Linked DNA regions of Caenorhabditis elegans. The protein of the gene in region 2 purifies or fractionates together with the protein of the main gene of each other region. This does not show direct contact. Each region holds a gene or a part of one and is shown on either strand. Other genes may lie near its edges. The genes, in order: F56D5.9 and F36H12.4.

Evidence for each region.
Region 1: the proteins of F36H12.4 (region 2) and F56D5.9 fractionate together in Caenorhabditis elegans (co-fractionation; one large-scale study listed by BioGRID). This does not show direct contact.

What each region holds. Positions count from the first base shown.
Region 1 is NC_003282.8:9,415,008-9,427,643, reverse strand, and holds F56D5.9 (BRCT domain-containing protein), read left to right. Parts: upstream 1-5,135; 5' UTR 5,136-5,137; coding exon 5,138-5,243; intron 5,244-5,294; coding exon 5,295-5,509; intron 5,510-5,625; coding exon 5,626-7,650; intron 7,651-7,694; coding exon 7,695-7,809; intron 7,810-7,856; coding exon 7,857-7,999; intron 8,000-8,222; coding exon 8,223-8,361; intron 8,362-8,411; coding exon 8,412-8,512; intron 8,513-8,560; coding exon 8,561-9,019; intron 9,020-9,116; coding exon 9,117-9,212; downstream 9,213-12,636. Other genes in the region: srxa-2 (G_PROTEIN_RECEP_F1_2 domain-containing protein), read right to left, coding at 3,229-3,429, 3,480-3,818, 3,866-4,041, 4,114-4,249.
Region 2 is NC_003282.8:5,263,252-5,272,110, forward strand, and holds F36H12.4 (uncharacterized protein), read left to right. Parts: upstream 1-5,851; 5' UTR 5,852-5,893; coding exon 5,894-5,905; intron 5,906-5,952; coding exon 5,953-6,111; intron 6,112-6,271; coding exon 6,272-6,307; 3' UTR 6,308-6,375; downstream 6,376-8,859. Other genes in the region: F36H12.5 (Lipoprotein), read left to right, coding at 3,615-3,652, 3,704-3,779, 3,838-4,317; F36H12.17 (Cadherin domain-containing protein), read right to left, coding at 4,889-4,953, 5,013-5,169, 7,175-7,295, 7,449-7,634, 7,691-7,763, 8,501-8,606.

The DNA.
Region 1 (12,636 bases), 4.2 Mb from region 2:
TTAATCTTTGCCGTAGTCAAAGAAAAAAGGCGGTAGGTAGTCAGCTTTATACTTCAAAAATTATGTTAGTTTCTTTCTCATTATGAAATAATTCTCTTCTCATTATGAAATACTTAATACTAACACCTTGTGCTCTTTATTTTGTCTAGAAATCAATTTTAAAAAGATGCCCATAATTTAATTTTGATAATTTTCTACTGGAATCTGCAAAATTGAAAAAAAAGGCAAACAACAAATATTGTTAAATTTCCCTGTGCATGGAACTGTTTCAATATATGTAAGTTTTTTCATAGACAAGATGACCACCGAGTTTTAGAAATTCCAAAAAATATGCATTGTTTATCACTTTTCTTGGATAGAAACACTTAAAAAGTTCACAGACGCTTTAAAATTTAATATTCAGATATTGGTCAATGAAACTAAAAATGACGAAAAGGAAATACTGAGACTTTAAAATTGAATCAATCTACACTAAAACAATAGAATAAAAGGTTAGAATTCCGTGAGTGGTTTTTTCTAAATTGTAAACAGAACATTTTTTGGTCAGTTGTTATCGTTAAAGGACTACAAAATTCCATTTATTCTGTCTAAAACGAATACAATTATCCAACTCGTTGAAAATTGTGTACAGCCAAGATGTTAAGAAACGCCAATTTAAAAACTTTCTCAATTATTGCTGAACAGCTGAAATTGTTGAACGGATTTCCAAAAAATTTTAGAGCGCCCAAGTCTTTGGGTATTTTCAGAAAGTAAATTTCTCATTACAATAAAAATTTTAACATTTTGACAAAGTTTCAGATTAAAAAAACTGAATATTTTCTTTGTGTTACAATTTTACAAATAAAACATATTTGGAAAAGTTGAAAAATCCGTTTTATATTTTAATGGAACAACGAGTATTGTTCAATTTTTAATTGATCCGACCATAAAACATTTTTTTCAAATAAAATTGGTAGAAATTGGAAAAATTGGAATCTTCATTCCTTTTCTGCAAAAAATAAATAAGTTGAGTATATTTGAAGAGTCTCAATAATGATATATTTGCATTATTTGCACGTACTCATTGCTAGGTGAAGTTTCAAGTAATTCAAGTAACTAAAAAAACGACATGATCCAGTGTTTCTCTTATTGTGAACTTGGAAGTTGTTAAAAAATGTCTGGTATTTTAATTTTCTAGAAAAAATTTATGAAAAAGCAAAGCACATTCCTGATTAAAAAAAAAACATAACTTCCTATGATGATCTAGAAATCGAGAGAGGAAGATGTCATGTAATAGATAAAAACACGGCGAAGGCATTTGAATATTTATGAGATTATTTTTGATCTTGTTTTATATATATTCTAGACGTTTTAGGGTCAATTTCTATTATTTTTTTACAGTTGACGCACATCAAAAAAATTTCGTCCAAAAAGTAGGCGATAGGCAGGCATGAGACATGCTAACTGCGGACTCTGTTAGGTTCCCATAGTTTCCAAAACAAACAAAAAAACAATTTTAATTGTTCTGAAAAAGCAACAACACAAAAAAGGATCACAGACACCAAATCGAATGAGAAAGTGCAAAGGGCCAATATTGGAAAGAAGTTGGTGTCGACATATGCTCAGAAAATCAAATTTCGATTCGTTTCGCTTCAACTATTTTGGGGCCACCCTCCCTAGAATGAGACGAAATCCCGAGGATGGAGGGGGCATCAAAAAGTTGTCCTTAGAATGACAACAACACACGAAAATTGCCGAAATTTTTAGAGAAGAAATGTTCGAAAAGGACAAGATGAGAATGAAAGAAGGGAGGAAGAGAAAATTAATTGAATCATTCAAACACACACACACACATCCACTGAGGACTCACACGTTTTACTAATTTTTTGGGTGAATTTTGTTTAAACGGGTGTGTTTTTCGAATATTTTCAAGTGTCACCAGTTCCTGGTTTTTTCAGTAATAATAACAGTTCAGTGAACAAAAAGTACATTTGCCACCACCCTCAATAACTAAAAAATTCTGCTGCCAAGGAAGGTTTTTTACTGGTTGAGTATATTATCTGAAGAGTAGAGTCTGTGGGGATTTTAAATAAACATATTTATAAAAATAGCCCAAAATGGCCGAATCTTATAATAAAAAATTTCAAAAAGATTTGATGTTCTTAGGATTTCGGTAAGAACTTAGTCAATTTTGATAATTTCAACTTTTTTGATAATATCAACGGAAGCTTCTAGCATTACTGCTGAGCAATATTTAACGACAAATAATGGAAAATGTAAATAAACAAATATGAGTACTCGTAGAAAAAAATTGTGTTTGGAAGACAACCATTTTTAACAGCGAACACAGAAGTTCAACGAATTTTAGAACTGTGTTATGCATGTTTGGAAACCATAGAGGTATTTTAACCAATTTATTGTAATTTCCTTAGAGAAAATGGTTTTCAAAATTTGTATTGAAACGATCAAGAAGGAGAAATCATGATTTTATGGCATGGATTCACAAACAGTTTTTATTCTCCGAAATCATTAAACCATTTCGCAATCATAAAAGCTGTTTCAAACATATATTTTATGCAAAAATAATGTTTGATGATCGAAGAAAAGTTTACTAAACATTGGAAACCATAAAAGAAACTATTAATTTTTGAGCACGATTTTGTAGGCTCGGGGATTAACTGGTTATTTCGGTGAGTCAGTGAATTGTGTTATCATGTTAAACAGCATACCGGAGTTTTTTTTTGGATTTTACCAGCAAATGATTCCAAACGTTCAAACTTTTAATTTTTTTCTGAAAAAAAGAGAACACGCACACGAATTCTAGCCGCTGCTAATGAAAATGGAAAGCGCTCGAATGATTTTCCCGAGCTTTGTTGACTTCTTTCCAAAAATTACAATAAACATTTTTTATTCCAGATTTTCAGCAATACTTTCTTTAATCTATTTCATTTGATTTTGTAATCATTCACCAAAATTTTTCTGAGCAATTTGGGTCATGCGAAAAAATTTAACTTGCAACGAAGAAATATTTTATTCAATGTAAAAATTAAGATTAATATTGTTTTTTTAAGTGAGTTCAAAATCAGAGTAACAATGAGAATTCCAAAATTTTAAAGATCTGGTTGATAAAATTGTTTTTTCTCTGGTAGAACAACGTTTTATAATTTATAAAATACTAAAAGGTAATTTGTTTCTGGGCTAAACAGTTTAGCCTAAACTATAAAGAATTACAATAAACAGAAAAAATAATTAATGTAAAATTCTTGCGTTACTATGACTGAAACTTTGACTTAAATGTAGATGGTTCACACTTCCAAATGACTTTAAAACTATTTTTCTAGTTGATTTGGTGAGCACAAAATATACAAAAAAGTTCAATGAACTGATTGCCAGCAAACGTAGATCATAGGATATTGTTTGAAGCTCGAAGGGAAGATTTTCAAAATGTTGCTGAAAATAATTATATTATTTTCACAAATTATCTTGTTTGATATTCTTACCGGATAAAGCCTCATGTGTAAGTATAAAATCTCATAAACACTCAAATAAACTCCAATAAAACATGCTTGACGAATCATTTCATTTTCTCGTTTTACGTGTGACAAAGATATTGACGAGGCAGTGCTCTTCCAGCGATTTCTCAGATATTTTTGATAAATTAGAATTCCAGAATTGACTACCATTGACACAATTGGAACATAAATAAGAAAGTTATTTTGAAATAAAGTGATTGGATGACGAGACGGAGCACATGCTGATTCGTGGTAACTGGTCAAAGCATTGAAGTTTAATGAGCAATTTGAAAAATATGGAATCAGAAGCCAAATGGTAATGAGAATCTGCAACTCTTTCAGGGTATTATAGGTTTCAAAATACTGTAGCCTACCGTAACCCCAGTGCAATACACAACAACCTTCGTGTCGCTGAACCATTTTGATGATTTAATCGGTGATATGAAAATAGACATCCTATGGAAAGTCATTATCCAATCCAAAAATAATGGAGCTAAATAACAAATGGTGAATAGCAGAGATACTTCTGTTCCAACAGCATGACGATACTCTGAAAATTGACTGTGGAGCTTATGATTTCAAAACTGTTTCAGAATTCAGATCAAGCATCTTGCCAACTCACTCTGATATCCACCATTAGGCTCGATCCATTCAGAAATAGGCCAGGCGTCTACCATTAGAAAGTCTATCAATTTTTCCGAAATTCCAAAAATTGTCATAAAAATAATATAGATAAAGGGTCCAGATTGGGAAGACATTTTCAGTTTTAAAACTGAAAATAGCAGAAAGAAGTCAAATATTAAAAATAATAAATTGAGAATTGAAAATACCAGCTGAGCTAGATTAACTATCCAATATATCATTTTGCGGGGTTTGAAAAATAGAAATAATATCACAAATCAAAATATTCAAACTGTGAGGTGATCAGTCGAGCAAATGCTTCTGCTCGAGTGCATGACAAATTTGCTTTAGAACTCAACACTGACGAGAAAAAGTAGAACTTTGTTTTTCCGCGCACATTTTCCTGAGAATCTTGGAGAAAATGTAAAATAGTGACACATTCTTACGTGGGAATATCAACAAGCAGTATACTTTATTTTAAGAAGCAGAGTAAAAAACTGATCTTACGGACAAAGATTGAAATATTCGTTCTAGATTTTTGATAAAAAATATGTCAGCAATCTCTTTCACTTTTTCGCATTCGGGATAAGTTTTCGATGTGTAAATCAGGAGCCTCACATCATTGGCATCACAATGTGCACTGTAAATTTTAGATTCTCCGAGAAAAGTGTCATTCTGAAAATTGGACTTTTTCTCAAAATCATACAAATTTTGCAGGTAAACAACTCAAAAAAAAGTAAAGTAGGAAAATGAAAACTCAGCTCACAATCAGAATACAAATAAAAAGTTAAGCCTACTCTTTGACAATAAAATGAAAAAAATCGAAAAAATTGGACATTACGTGAAGACAGTTGCGAACAAGAAGAATTTTTTGGAAAAAAATCGCTTGTTGCTCTTATTTTAGTCCTAGTGATAAACAAAACATTTCATTGATTATTTTCGATTTTCTAGTGAAGTGATTTCTCCGGTAATGCAAGGTGAGCAAAGTTTGTTCATAAAATCATGCATGTTTCATTTGATTTCAGATGAATAAAGCTATTAGTATACTCTTTGCAATTACCTTAATTTTTTGTTTCAATCGACTGTTAGCGTTCTCAACATCCACCGAAGAAACCACATTTGAAAGTGATAGTGAGTTGAATTTTCTATTTTCATTTCACTTTTATCAATTAAACATTTTAGTAAAATCGCCAAATCTCGAAAACTTCATGAATGATGTTTCCACCTTGATTAATCTAACGAAAGCAATATCAAGTCAAGCACGTCTTTTCCATGATTTCGATCTGGAAACTTCTACATTTTTCAAAGCAACGCCACTTGATCTACAAGCATTTCTTGCTCTTCAACCGAATGAAACGATGGCAGCATTCACAAAGTTTTACAATGAAATTCGAAAGGTAACAGTCCCGTCGAACGTTACAGAATTGAAGACAGTAGTGAACCACTTAGTTATGCTATCTTCGTTGGAATCATATTTTCACCGAAAAAAATTTTCCCCGAAAAAAAAGTTCAGTCGTATATTCGGAGATTTGAAAAGTTGAAAAGTAAGATGCCAAATCCACCTGATCTAAAACCACCCGAATTTAAATATTTTGATGATATCGAATATTGTCTATCGAATGACATTGATAGAACAAAATTATCATTTTGCTTTGCTCTTTTCTCCGACGGAAAGATTGAAGAATTATTCAAAAAAGACATGGATCAGCTCAGCAAAAGTCTCGAATACAAAAATGTCGTCAAAAAGTTTAACGAAAGGCACTCTGATATAAGTATATTAGATGACATTATTGACGCTGTTCAAGAATTTACCGTAAATGGTGAATTTGTAAAATCTTCTGCTTCGTTATTGAGAACAATCAGTCAAAATCTTGTCAAAGTTAGGAAGGCTTTGAAAAAGAACAGCAAAGGTGTTGGTGATGGTATGAAGAGGACATTATTTGGCGAAAAAGTTAACCTCTATGAATCAAAAATTAAAGAAGTTGCTGGAATGTTGAGAGTATTCAATTCCAAGTGGCTGAAACATGTACTTGGGGATGAGAACACAAAGACCCTTTATGATGGACTCGAACCTATCAGAAATCATTTGAAAACAATGAAAAAAGTGAAGAAGATAGTTTTAAAACATCCGGATAGCTTAAGAGCAGCTTTATTGATGTCAGTAAAAATCAGTGATCTGGAAAAGTGGAACGATTTCGAAATATCGAGTACTATCATAGACGTTGTGGAGACTTGCGTTGTTAATTTGCCCACATTCACGAAATCTTTTGATTATGAAAAATTTAAAAATATATTCATTCATATGGATAATCTTGCCACTGAACTACATAAATACATTCGAAGAGTACGAAAAATAATAAAGCAGAAAGATAAAACCTTGGATGAACTGAAGAATATACGAGTAAAAGTTAAGGAAATCATGAAGTCCGATTCTGGAAATTGGCGTCAAATACAATCCAATTTATATAACAAAATAAGTCCAAATGATACCAAGTCTATCAAGAGAATGTCCGAAAATGTCACGCAATTGATAAGTGATTACGATGGAAGTGAATTTGTTAAGAGTATCATCAACGCTCCGTCTCTTGATTATTTGAATGATGTTTTATTAGAAGTTAATGTGACAAAAGCTTTTACCATTGGAAAATGTTTGAGAACTGGAAACTTTAAATTAGGAAAAATAAACAATAATCTGTTTAACCTTCTTAATTTTGAATCATTCAAATCTCCTGAAACAGAATCTGCATCAAAAATGGTTGGATCTTATATGGATGACCTTTCTAAAATTCTGAAGGCGCTGAACTCTGCTAGAGACAATACATTGAAGAAGTTAAGTGATGAGATCAAGTATTTGAATAGGTTCAATCAATCCGAAGAAATCAATAAACCTTTACTTATTGGAAAAGAAGCAATAGAGGAACTGCATATTAACCAGAAAGAGATGAATCTCCTACGAAGTATGTTAAGTTCAACTTCTCATTTCAATGGCAACTTCTGGAAAGTATGGGAGTCTCAAGGCAAAAAGAAATTAAACGAGACTATTGAAAAAATGAGCAATTTGAATTATTTGATGGGAAATCGCGTGAATAATGACATTTCAAGTGTTGCGATTGTATTTGACGAAGCTGCGACTTTTCATGGATTGGTTGGAGTTTTCAAAAATTTCGATGAATTCAAAGAAAACGTGAAACATTTAAAAGGAAGTCAGAAGATAATCGAACAAATGGAAGGAATTAAAGCTCTTCGTTTGGATTTCACTTATTACCACAAAGAACTCAAAGCTGCTTCAGAGAGTGTCACATTTCTTAACAAATTTCTTGATGAGCTTTTTGAAATGGGCAGGCATGAAACAATTTGGATACAAAATTCAATTCCATGGTACTTCATTGTTCTCATCATATTTGGATCACTTGTTCTTTTCATCATTCTCTTGATTATCTTGTATTCAATAACTCCAAATGGAAGAAGGAAGTTGAAACGATTTTATTTGAATCGATTTGCATCAGAAGCAGTTACAAATTTGCACTGGAGATATTCAGTGAGTTATTATTCAATTTTCAGTTCAAATAAAATTAATTTCAGTTCTGGATTGATCAAGAAGCTGATAAAAATGCATTATGTGAAGCTGTTAGAGAAATTAATTTCGATCAAGTGAAGGTATTGGTAGATAAGGGAGTGTTCATTAATGTGTACAACAGTAAGAAGATAATCAATCAATTTTTATTTAATTTGATGTAATTCCAGTGTTTGGAAATACTCTTCTTCATGCTGCTGCGAAATATGGACACGTTAAGATTGCTGATTTTCTCATTCGGAATGGTGCTGATAGAGGAGCTTTTAATGTTGAGAATAAGACACCAGAACAAGTATTGGCTGAAAGTGTGCAGGTAAGCTAGATTTTATATATTTAAGCTGTAGTTTCTTGCATTGCTCTACTTTGACGGCTCATATATCGGTTGTCGTTGGTTTCATCAAAAATGTGTAACATTGAAGCAAAAATTTGCCATTTGATAGTTTTTCATTAAGCCAAAGAGAACTGAAATTTAAATTGTCAAAGTGGAGCAAGGGGGTCAGTATTATTTTGAAATACGTTAAATGTTACATTTCCAGACAACAACCAAATTTCTAACATTGACTAGTCCTACCAGTGGAAGTGAAGGAGTAACAAAGAGTAAACTGACAGAAATGGGAAATCTGACGGATATTGAGAAGATTTTTGAGAAGCACAGAGGAAAAGTGTTTAGACAGAGTGAGTTTATCCATCCTTCAATTAATGTAATTTGGGAGTATTTATTTCAGAACTCCCAGAGCTACTTCCAACTATGTCGTATCGTATTCGTATTGATGCTCAATTGACTGGTATTACTTACGAATCATTCATTGAAAGGTACAAAGGAAATGTGAGTTTATGTTCGTTTTGAGTTATCAGTTAAACCCAAAATTTAAAGGTGACTGATCAAATGTCGGGTGTAACTCATTTCATTGTATTAACTGATGCTACTGGTCTTTTTGAATCAGATGATTTTGGTTACATAATGTGCATTTTCTTGCCAACATTAATCATGAAACAGCAGTGGATGAATGACTGTTTGAAAAAGAAATCAAACTTCCGAAATGATTATAAATATCGTGTGGAAAGAGTGAAATACAAGGGAGTCGTGTATGAAACAGTTTTGAAATGGGCCGAATGGATTCACAAACAAAAAATTCCTTTCTTGTTTGGAGTACATTTCCATGTGGCAATCGAGAAGATGTCTGAAAATGAGAAGATGCATTTGAAACAGTTGGTTGAAATGCACGGAGCCACATGGATGGATCAGATGCCAAACAAAGCGAATTTCAATGCAGGATCCCACCCATTCCACCATTTCCATCTCGGACCACTTTTCATTATCCACGAAAAGAAGGTATGTTGCGTAATATTTAACTTGACAAATAATTAATTCCCAGTGCATTTGCTTTCTAAATTCGATAAGAATTCGATTTTTAAGTTATTTTTTCCAGAATAACATGGAAACATATAAAAACGTGACGGTGATGTACCAAAAGCCGAAATTTATTTCAAATGGTAGTTCAATTATTCCTCATCCAAAACGGTAGTCACTGGAATAGGAACCTTTCGCTCTGGATCATAGAAGCATTCCAACTTCAACATGAAAATAATGAATTGATCATACGTCATCAGAGTGTACATCTTGTCGTTTTTATATGTTTCCATGTTATTCTGGAAAAAATAACTTAAAAATCGAATTCTTATCGAATTTAGAAAGCAAATGCACTGGGAATTAATTATTTGTCAAGTTAAATATTACGCAACATACCTTCTTTTCGTGGATAATGAAAAGTGGTCCGAGATGGAAATGGTGGAATGGGTGGGATCCTGCATTGAAATTCGCTTTGTTTGGCATCTGATCCATCCATGTGGCTCCGTGCATTTCAACCAACTGTTTCAAATGCATCTTCTCATTTTCAGACATCTTCTCGATTGCCACATGGAAATGTACTCCAAACAAGAAAGGAATTTTTTGTTTGTGAATCCATTCGGCCCATTTCAAAACTGTTTCATACACGACTCCCTTGTATTTCACTCTTTCCACACGATATTTATAATCATTTCGGAAGTTTGATTTCTTTTTCAAACAGTCATTCATCCACTGCTGTTTCATGATTAATGTTGGCAAGAAAATGCACATTATGTAACCAAAATCATCTGATTCAAAAAGACCAGTAGCATCAGTTAATACAATGAAATGAGTTACACCCGACATTTGATCAGTCACCTTTAAATTTTGGGTTTAACTGATAACTCAAAACGAACATAAACTCACATTTCCTTTGTACCTTTCAATGAATGATTCGTAAGTAATACCAGTCAATTGAGCATCAATACGAATACGATACGACATAGTTGGAAGTAGCTCTGGGAGTTCTGAAATAAATACTCCCAAATTACATTAATTGAAGGATGGATAAACTCACTCTGTCTAAACACTTTTCCTCTGTGCTTCTCAAAAATCTTCTCAATATCCGTCAGATTTCCCATTTCTGTCAGTTTACTCTTTGTTACTCCTTCACTTCCACTGGTAGGACTAGTCAATGTTAGAAATTTGGTTGTTGTCTGGAAATGTAACATTTAACGTATTTCAAAATAATACTGACCCCCTTGCTCCACTTTGACAATTTAAATTTCAGTTCTCTTTGGCTTAATGAAAAACTATCAAATGGCAAATTTTTGCTTCAATGTTACACATTTTTGATGAAACCAACGACAACCGATATATGAGCCGTCAAAGTAGAGCAATGCAAGAAACTACAGCTTAAATATATAAAATCTAGCTTACCTGCACACTTTCAGCCAATACTTGTTCTGGTGTCTTATTCTCAACATTAAAAGCTCCTCTATCAGCACCATTCCGAATGAGAAAATCAGCAATCTTAACGTGTCCATATTTCGCAGCAGCATGAAGAAGAGTATTTCCAAACACTGGAATTACATCAAATTAAATAAAAATTGATTGATTATCTTCTTACTGTTGTACACATTAATGAACACTCCCTTATCTACCAATACCTTCACTTGATCGAAATTAATTTCTCTAACAGCTTCACATAATGCATTTTTATCAGCTTCTTGATCAATCCAGAACTGAAATTAATTTTATTTGAACTGAAAATTGAATAATAACTCACTGAATATCTCCAGTGCAAATTTGTAACTGCTTCTGATGCAAATCGATTCAAATAAAATCGTTTCAACTTCCTTCTTCCATTTGGAGTTATTGAATACAAGATAATCAAGAGAATGATGAAAAGAACAAGTGATCCAAATACGATCAGAACAATGAAGTACCATGGAATTGACTGTGATTTCAAAAATCTTTTCTTTTTTGTCATTTTAATCGAAAACAATCCATCAAGGAATGTACTCAAATCTTGAATGCTCGTTGTAGCAAAAGTTAGTTCTTTCCGAAATGTGGTAAAATCCAATCCAAGATCGTCCAATTTTTTGAACAGTATTATTACTTCTTCTTCGTTTTGTTTGATATTCGTAGCATTTTCTTTGAATGAGATGAAATTTGTCAATGCACCATTCAATCCGTGAACTTTGGAAGCTTCATCAAATATATTTATAACACTTGTTAAGCTGTTCTTGAATTCATTTTTTATCCATTCCTCCAACTTATTCACTTCCTCAATCATATTTTGTAATTTTCCTTTTCCCTGACTTTGCCATGTGTTCCAAAATGGGTGCATAAACTTTGTATCTGTGGATATAATTGTTTGTAAAAGCTTTTCTTCTTTTTGAACATGTGATATAGTTCTGATAGCTTCTCTTCCTGATTTAAGATTATTCTCAATAACATTGTTTGTTTTATTGAAAGTGTTCAAATACGTTGTTTCTTCGGTTATGTTCTTTTTTGTGGTTTTTCTCAAAGTATTGATCACATCAATAAAATTGCTAACTCCATTTAAGTATTCGACTGTCGATTTCACATGATTTTCTGTTTCACTCAATGTAAAATACTTCAAATGTTTTGCTCCAATCAACACCTCATCAACTTGTCCTTTGTCAAAGTTACTTCTTGAAAGACATTCTCCAATTGATATCATTTTTGATACATCAAATTGTGATAAAATGTTAATTATTCCATCCATTGGCATATGGTTTACAATTCTATCCATAAATGAAGTATCATACCTATTTGAAAATCTTTGAAAATCTTTAACATGAGACAACATTGATTTTATGTTATCCGTATCATTTCCTTTTAACATATTTTCAATTCTGAACCCAATTTGTTCAGCATTATTTTATGCTTGCGGAGCCCAAGACGTCGTGATTGTTCTCAACTGCCTCAATCCTTCCATGACATCGTTTTTAGTTTGGAGTAGAGCAGTTGCACTTTTGAAATAATCATTTAAGTCAGAAATAAGCAAATCTAGAAATTTGAAAGTCTCCTGAAACGTTGTGTAATCAAATGAATCAGTGACATTTGGAATAGTTGAAGTACAACTGCTGCCTGCAGCAATGATCTCCTTTGAAATTTGGAGATTTCCATTTCCTTTCGAGGTTTCTATAACAGAAATTGCATTTTTAACTTTTTTCGCAATTTTCTGATGCACTCTAAGTTTGATCAATGTATCGTTAATCATCTTTAGTGTTTCACTGTACGTATTCATTGAATTCAATCCAGTTTTCAGCCTCGTCATATTTCTTTCACCAAATATTGATGTGAGCCATGGTGATTTGAGTGCAGATAATGTTTCCATCACTTCCTTGAATACGGTGTTATTCAATTTAATGTGTTGTGGAAAAAATGCTGGATTCATGTTAAGCGCAATATTGTTTTTAATGTTTTTCAAGGCTTTTTAACTGGTTTGAGTTCTCTATTCAAGAATTTAAGTGATTTTGGTAAAGATTTCATAACTTCCTTGTTGATTAAAAACTCTTGAGCTAATGAAACAATTATTTCAAGATGTTTGATATTATCAAACCCCTTTGAGAAACGATAGGAAATTTCAG
Region 2 (8,859 bases):
ATTGTTGAAAGGCAATACAGCATGTTGAATTTCAATTGGCTTGATGCTGAAATACATTTTTATAGCTTCAGAAGAAACAAAAGCATGTTTTTGTATCTTACCCAACTCTGGTTGCCTCTTGATTGAGTTGTTTGGCGTTCTCAGGTCTTTTAGTTTGACCTTTGAACCAGGTGAAGCGTTCTGTTGCAACACCACTCCAGTTTTCATCCATTTTCTTAGATTTCAAGATTGGCTCCGATGTCTCAGACTTCCGGCGCATCTTTCTTTTCCGAGTTTCTTGAATTTTTCGCCTGTTCTGAAATATTGGACATTAAAACCGAAAATAATTGATAAATCGAAAATTATTATTGCAGTTTCTACTAGTTTTGCACCCTTCTTTTTGCCTGACCAGCAATACTTTGCTGTGACGTCAGCAAATTTGTAATTTTTTAGTAAATTGAACTTAAAATCGTTGATATAATTGATGAAACATTGGAAAAGCGTGCATTTTTCCTTGTTTTACCGGTATCAAGTTGAGTTTTCAATAAAAAGTTGGCCCCTTTCCAAAGTTATTGGGCATTCGAAAATTAGTCTTGCAGTCTCCATTAGTCTTGCAAGACTAATAGAAGAAATACGGTGCAAGTCAATTAAAGATAATTTCTAAACAGTAGAAAAAAGATCACCTGTGACATCGCACGACCACTTTGAGCAGCATTCATTTGCTGGAGGATACCATTTTTCACGTCGCCATCTTGGTCATCTTGCTCAACTCCCTCCATTCGATCCGCATTTTCATCGTGCTGCCCGTCGATCATCTCACCCTGGTCTGCTTCAAACTCAACAGTTTCGATCACTTCTTCATCCCTTGATCTCTCAAGAATCTGAAAAACTTGATTGAACACGATTGATAGATGGAAGTAGTACAATTTAGCTTACTTCAGTAAGGTTCGAGTTTGAACCAACTTCAACCACTGAAGCAGAGGTGAGAGAATTCTCGCTAGTGCTTCCAGGAGGGCGAGGGAATGGCATTGGATATGGATACGCCATTTGCTGAAAAAGATACATAATGTCACGAAAAGGAAAACTTTAACGAACTCCTCACATCATTTGAATATCACTCACCTGTAGCGTTACCTTGTACGGCTGCCATTTTCCAAACTGATCCTTCAGCATGATTTCGCAATTAATTGAAGGGGCGTTCATTTCGTGTTTGCAGAAACTTAATGATTGAAAAACACACACTGACGAAAGTTCATTAGATAATTTTTATTTTTCCACGTAGACCACGTTAGAAAGTAGACCACGTTTATTTATTAATTATTTTTGTGTATTTAAAATATTGCTGATTTTTTGTTTTGTCATTGTAGACTGGAGATTAATTTCGGTGTTAATTCACTCCTAGTGATTGATAAGCAAAAAAAAGTCTTTGCAGTAATTTCCAATTACTTCGGTATACAAACTAGGCAAACGAGGACATTCTTCACTATTTACTTTGCGATCTGGATATTGCTCGTTTTTTTTTGTTCTCGTTTTATCGTGTTCTCTTTTCTCATTTTCTTGTTATATCTTCTCTACATTTCTCCGCCTATTTTACACATAAAACGTTGTGGCTGACGAAACCCGCAGACTGTCGGTGCACACAGCAATACATGTTCAGTTCTTTCGTTTTCCAAATTGGTTTTAACCCAGTTAACTAAGGTTAGCATTAATTTCGACCTTTCGAAAGATTGTGTTGAATAACAATAATTTTTGGAATTTTTGGAAATATTTTCAGGGTGACAGTGGAGGCAATTATATTCTTTCCCATCTCTCTCCCCATCCAAAACGACTAATGTCGATAGCTCAACACATTTCCCACAATTTTAATTCATGCTTTCAAGAAGGGCATCGAAGAGCTTGCCTGAAATTGAATTTACCTCAAAATTGAAACAGTAATTAAATAAATTTGAAGGAAAGTTCTTTTAAACGAAACAATCAGACTGGACTGGAACCGAATCAAATTTATTTTCCAATTACGAGCACTCCGGTATACAAATCAGGTAAACGAGGTCATTCTTCACTACGTTGCGATCCGGAAAATTGCTCGTAAACATTTTATAATTTTTTAAAAATTCTTTCTGACACGGCCCCTTTTGACAGTTCATTTGAAAAATTAATGTAACACCATTTACTATATATAAAGCGCTTATTCTGTGTGTCCATAGTTTGTAGTCTATGTAGTCTTTGTAGTCTGTGAAATTTTGGCTTCTGGAGGGATAGTGAGTTAGGGTTAGTGTAGGGATATAGTCGGGGTACTGTAGTGGTACGGTAGGAATACTGTAGGGTTACGGTAGTTTCATAAAAAAATTAATTTTCAGCCCCAGAAGTCGGGGGCCGTACGACGACAAGCACACCTACCACATCAAGGTGATCAACTCATCTGCTCGCCGTATTGGATACGGTATCAAGACCACCAATATGAAGAGACTTGGAGTTGATCCACCATGTGGAGTTCTCGACCCAAAGGAAGCAGTTCTTCTTGCCGTTTCCTGCGATGCTTTCGCCTTTGGACAGGAGGATACAAACAACGACCGTATCACTGTTGAGTGGACCAACACCCCGGATGGAGCTGCCAAGCAATTCCGCCGTGAATGGTTCCAAGGAGACAGTATGGTTCGTCGTAAGAACCTCCCAATCGAGTACAACCCATAGAGCCCTTAGCTATCTCTCTCAATAAATGATTTTTGAAAGATCGTTGTTTTTTCTCTTGTTTAAAATTTTCAGATTTTAAAACGTATCAAATTTGAGTACAACCCGAAGAAGGCTTAATAAGACGTCTCACTTTTTATTTTAATAAAGCTTCTTTGAGGAATTGATGTTTTAGTTGTAACCCTCTGTCATTCTGAAAGCCACAAAATTTCTTCAAAATTTCAAAATGTTCCTGATTATTTTTGGAATAGTTTGAGCATGTAATGTGTTTAATTTAATGTAACGTTTACACCCGCGATAATGCCCTCACCAACTCCCAACCAAATACCGCTACTTAAATGCACATCCAAGTGTCTTCCGACCAAAACGTCAAAAGATTGGAGATGATGGCGGAATTGTAGACCTATCAACTATGCTGCTACTTGGCACATTGCCAATGCTACTTACAGAAGAAAGAAGAACACCTTCTCCCCTCATTCTCTTCACAGGCAGATAGCACATCATCACCAACTCCCCCTCCCACTCTTTAGACTGTACCAACTCGAACAATTCGATCAGCACATTCTCCACAAGCTCCACCATCTTCACCAAACCTGAAAATTTTCAGTAAGATACATTTTTCAGATTTTGCTCTGTTCAGTTTCCTATTGCATTTCTCGTACAACAAATTTTTTGCACAAACTGAAAATTATGGTTTTGCCGCCAATACCTATCAAGACCAATGATTCGGGGGCGGAGAGTTTTTATTTGACATTGGAGCGCAATTTCAAACCATACATATTTTTCCCCAAATACGTGAAGAAATGTATTCTTTATCAGAAAGGTCAATCTTTGGAAATAAAAAAATCTACACGTATTACAGTAGTTTTAAAAGTTTCAAATTTATTCCTCAAGGATAACAGCTTAGATTCAGTCTCTCAAGAAATTGATTGTCTAACTGAGCAAGCATGATTCATTTGGTTTGTGCTTATCACATTTTCGCGATGTAAGTTTGATTAATTTCTGACAATTTGACTGAAATTGTGTCCAATTTCAGAATACTAATGTCGATGACTGTCTCTGTTGGATGCAAATCGAAGGCTAAAAAACCAAAAGCAGCTGCTCCGAACCCGGTAAGTATGAATGGGATTTTATAAACTGAAGTGTATTCAAAAACGGAAATTATTTCAGATAAGCTCGATCTCGTCAAACTCGAAAGTCGCCCCTCCAGCTTCTCCACCACCACCACCAGAAGCTGAAAAGAAGCCGGAAACGGGAGAAGAGCCGAAGAAAGAGAAATCGAAGATGAAAAGTGAAGTGAAGGAACCAGATGCTCCAAAAAAGGATGACAAAACATCAGATGAAAAGAAAGAGAAACAGGAGGATACATTTGATGCTGTCAAACCGAAACAACAGGATGCTGATAGAAAGAAGGAATTGTGTGATAAGAAGAAGGCTGAAAATAAGGGAGATTACAAGACATGGAATAAAATTATTGAAAATAGTGAATTCGATAAGACTTTGAGTGAAAATGATGGAAAGAAGAAGAAAAAGAAGAATAAGGATGATGAAAAGGATGAGAAAAAGGAAGATACAGATGGAAAGAAGGATGAGAAAAAGGAGGATGATAAGGATGACAAGAAGAAGACTGAAGAGGATGATAAGAAATAGAGCTATTGAATATTGAATAAAACCTTCGAAAATACAAATCGTTGTTCTTATTTTTGTCTTTCAGTATCCAAGTTCTCCGTTTTACCTCGATGCAATTGTTGTGTAGCGCCCCTTATCTAAATGTGTGTACCTAATGCCAAATATCTGGCTTAAAACTTTCGACAAGTCTTCCTCAAAAACCGCAGAAAATATATTACCAAATAGCATGTTTAGTGGTTTATCGATTTAAAACATTTTCATCGTCGTTTATTTCAATTTTCCAGAAAACTGCCCTTTTTAGATGGTTTCTCTACTTCACACAAATTATTTATTTAATTCACAAAAGAAAACGAGATAGTGTTGGTAAAAAAGAGACGCAGAAACAGTGAAAAAATTTTTAAATATTCAAATCCTAGGAGGCCGTGTTATTATCACTCGAGTTATAACTTAGATCTCGAGACTTTTTAACCATATTGATTATGAGAGCTGCTTTAAATGTGGAAAAAAATACTAAAATGAAGAGCGATTGCAGAGAAATTATGATAATAAATTTGTATCCGTTTAACCAAGTTATAAGTAGTTTATTAAGTTTTTACTTGAAATAGTTGATAGTAAGTTTTCCGGTCTTTCTTCTTCCAAAATGAATTATGAGAATCACTGAAAAATATATTAGTAATATTTATTAGTAATAAAAATATTTAAATGAAACAACTTACTGCAAACCACGAGAAGCAGAAGCACCAATCCGATGGTAATTGCAACATACCACGTGGCAATTTCTCCAGGAATCCAGAGAGTAAATGTGGTTGTAGTGGATGATTTGATGAACATGTAAACGGTAGTTGGATCTATTTCCACAAGGGAGCATGTTGTCTGGAAAATAAACAATTAATGTTTTAAAGAGGAGGAACAAGGAGAATCCCTGTGTTTTTGACGAAATTTACTTGCAAAAAGATCACCAAATTTAAGGGGATGAAAAATAATTTTAATTTCGCACAATATGGTTGTACATACTATACTAATACATTTAACCACAATTTTACTTAAATGCTGAAACAGTAATGTTTTTGTTTGCTTAAAGGAAAAGTGCACTGAAAATGATGAAACTGCGTGGCGTGTTTGCAGGGATTTTCAGAGTAATACGTAATAGTTTATAATTCTTCGGTTTTAAAAATGGAATATAACTAGCAAATTATTCTCAGAGAAGTTCGGTCAAAGTGAGTAGAACTTATTAATAAGCATTCTGAAACAGTAAAGATAACATTTTTTGGAATTGAAATTTCAAAATCAAAAAATTCGTTTTTTCTTGTTTATTTTGTCACACTGAAATTCAATACAAATTAGAGAAAAGCTCGAAAAATTGACATTTCTTGCGAATTTATGAAAACATTAAAAATTTGCAATAACAATTGACTTTAATTTGAATTCAAAAAAATAAAATTTTAATTTAATTTCTCAATAACCTTTTGAAATTTCACGTGACCTTTTCTCCCTACAAATTCATCTTGTTCCTATATAAGCTGCGCAAAAATCGAAAAACTTCAGTTTTCAACTTTTGGTTTTAAAAATTCCAAACCACTGAAACCAGTTAGTATCAATGATTGCACAAGTGAGTTTTCGCAGAGCCTTTTTTCAGAATTTATGTTTAATTTTTAGATCATGTTGCCAATGATTGCAATTTTCGTGCTACTTGGATCCATAGCAAATTGCGGTGGCAAGAAGAAAGGAGCAGCTGGAGCCGGAGCCGGAGTTGCAGCCAACAGCCCAAAAAAGGCAGATGGACCGTCGAAGAAGGAAACGAAGAAAGAAGGAGATGTGAGTTTAGAAGTACTTGCTGGGGTCTCACGAGCCAGGCACTTGCCTGCCTGTCTACAAGACTGATTCACAAATTTTTCAATGTTTCATTTAAATTTTGAAACGGAGAAAATTATGTATCAGGCAGACCAATTCACTTAACAAAATTTAAAATTTTCAGGACGGAAACTACGAGGAACTCGCCGTCCCACAATGATCCCCCTGCATCCCTGTCTCCCAGTTTCTCGAACTCTACATCTCTAGCAAAATAAATAATTTTTCTGGATAAAACTAACAAGATAAAAGTTATTCGGTGTTTCCCAAGAGTGTTTGTTGTTATAAATTTACTGTTTCTCTACAAAATTTGTAAGCCCTATTTTTGGGAGTTGTCATTGTCATTGCTTGGCCTCCAGAACTTGTTCTAATCAGTTTTCTGTCAATCCTCTTTAATTTTTCCTGATTCGAAAACAACCCCTCCATTGAAGAGTTTGAAGAATATAGAAGTTTTGGACACCTATTGTAGTCGTGAAACAGTTAATTTTTTTTTCATCAAGAAATGATGCAAAACTTTAACTTTCAAAACAAAACTTTGAGGTTTTCGGAGTATCGTTTGGAACTACTCAATATATTAAAATGACAGAATATCTTAGTAAAGACAGAAAAAAGTTATAATTTTTTACAGCCTCATATTCAGGAAAAATGTAAATGTGTGGCATAGTGCAGTTTTCGCCACTCTCAATTTTGAACGTCGACCAAAAATAGGTTTTTCTAGAAATTTAATTTCGTAATCGTTTAAATCCTTCACTGAATTTTTTGAGTGTTTGGAATTTTTATGAGTATCTAGGCAAACGCTCTGAAATTTCAGGTACTTTCAGCTAAATATTGGCATTCCATGGGCGCCCCACTCTTTGCAAGTAAAATAATTAAATTATTGTTCTTAAAACTTTTAATCCTTAGTTGAGAAATCCTATTTCAAAATTCGGTTTTTGAGGATTACTTTAAGCATATTTAAAAACGTTAAATCCGATATTCACCTTTTAGCTTTATGTAATTTTGAAACATTTTTTTTTAGTAAAACGCTTACATTATCCATCATAGTTTTCAGATCGATATCAATTCTATGAGATCCTGCGGCAAGGTTAGAGTAGAAAATGTCTGTTTCTTGACTTTTACAAGGTGACAGATGAATATCGATGGCTCCGGTTCTGAAAACTCTGGACATTATGTAACAAATAATTGAGAGACAGATGAATTAAATTTGTCTAACAGAAATAGTATCTTAAAGAGAGTGAAACATAACAAAGCAATTAAATCAAATATACTAAAAATTGTGTTTTAAGTAAAAAGTAAGAACTTACACAACATCCAAAAAAGCGTGAATATTTTCCATAGTTGATTGATATTTCAGCTCGATCATCCTCATTTCACCCTGTTCAACCGTAAATGTTCCAGTCTCATAAAATGCTACGTGGCTTTCTAACGACGGCTCTGCTCCGTTGATAAGTACTATCATGGATCCGTTGATGGAAAACTGAGATTCAAGTCTGAAATACATCAAAAGATGGAGTTTAATTAAAGAAGAATATTGGGCAAGAAAAACCTTATGATCAAAGGAGATGTTGGTTGTGTTGAGTTGCTATAAAACGCCACGGAAGAATCACAGGAGTAGGCATCTGAATGAATAAAGTAGAAAAATGAGTGAATATGGGTTATGAACTAGTCAAAAATAACAAAATCGCAAACATTTTTAACGTAATTGCAGAGACTTCAATTTTAAAGTTAGCATTACCACAAAATATTAAGATGGATTTTCTGCTCTCCAAAATTTCCTGTTTCAGTATACTGATTTATTTGAAGAAAACACGAATCAACCGATTCAGTTGACAATGGTTTTTTTTACCAAATTTTTTAAAATTTTAAAGAAAACACGAATCAATCTATTCAGTTGACAATGGTTTTTTTTAACCAAAATTCTTAGAATTTCAGAAAGAAAAAACAAATCAACCTATTCAGTTGACAATTGTTTTCTTTTACCAAATTTTTTAAAATTTTAAAGAAAAAACGAATCAACCTATTCAGTTGACAATGGTTTGCATCGAAATCAGGTGTGTGCGGCAAATCTCAAAATTTGCCGAGCTGAATTCCACTCATAGGCAGGGTTAAAGTATGCTAAGATTTAAATTTCAATCTATATGTTATAAAGTGAATGAAAAAACAAAAATAAATCAATAAACTGAAACATGTACCATTCTGTGAGGCCGAACTATTGGTTCCGATTTTCTTCGTTTTTTTTTGTTTAAATTACGTTAAAAGGTATACCCGATTTTTTCGCCAACCCAATAATTATCAGTAATCCGGAAAAGTCAAACTAAACGTTTTTTTTTTGAAATTTCTTGAAATCATATATTACCGTAATACATTTCCATTCGGGGACTTTTCAACGTAATTTCAAAATTTGGGGCGTAGGAAGTCGTGTAGAGTATTCCTTTGTTTTCTGGGCAAAATGTTATGTAAACCTGAAAATGTCTTGCTTTTTCCTTCTTTTAAAAAAATCTGAAGCACTGTCGCAAAATGTTTGAATATTTTAAACTTGAATCAAAAGTAGACATTAAAATTCGAAGAAAAATTTGTTCTGATCGACGACTTTCAAGATTTTGAACACAGATTTTTTCCAATTTTGAAAAAATTATATAAAATTTAGAAACTATGATAGTTGGTCATTGTGGTGCCATAAACATGTCTTTAAGTTAACAATAAACATTCTAGCCT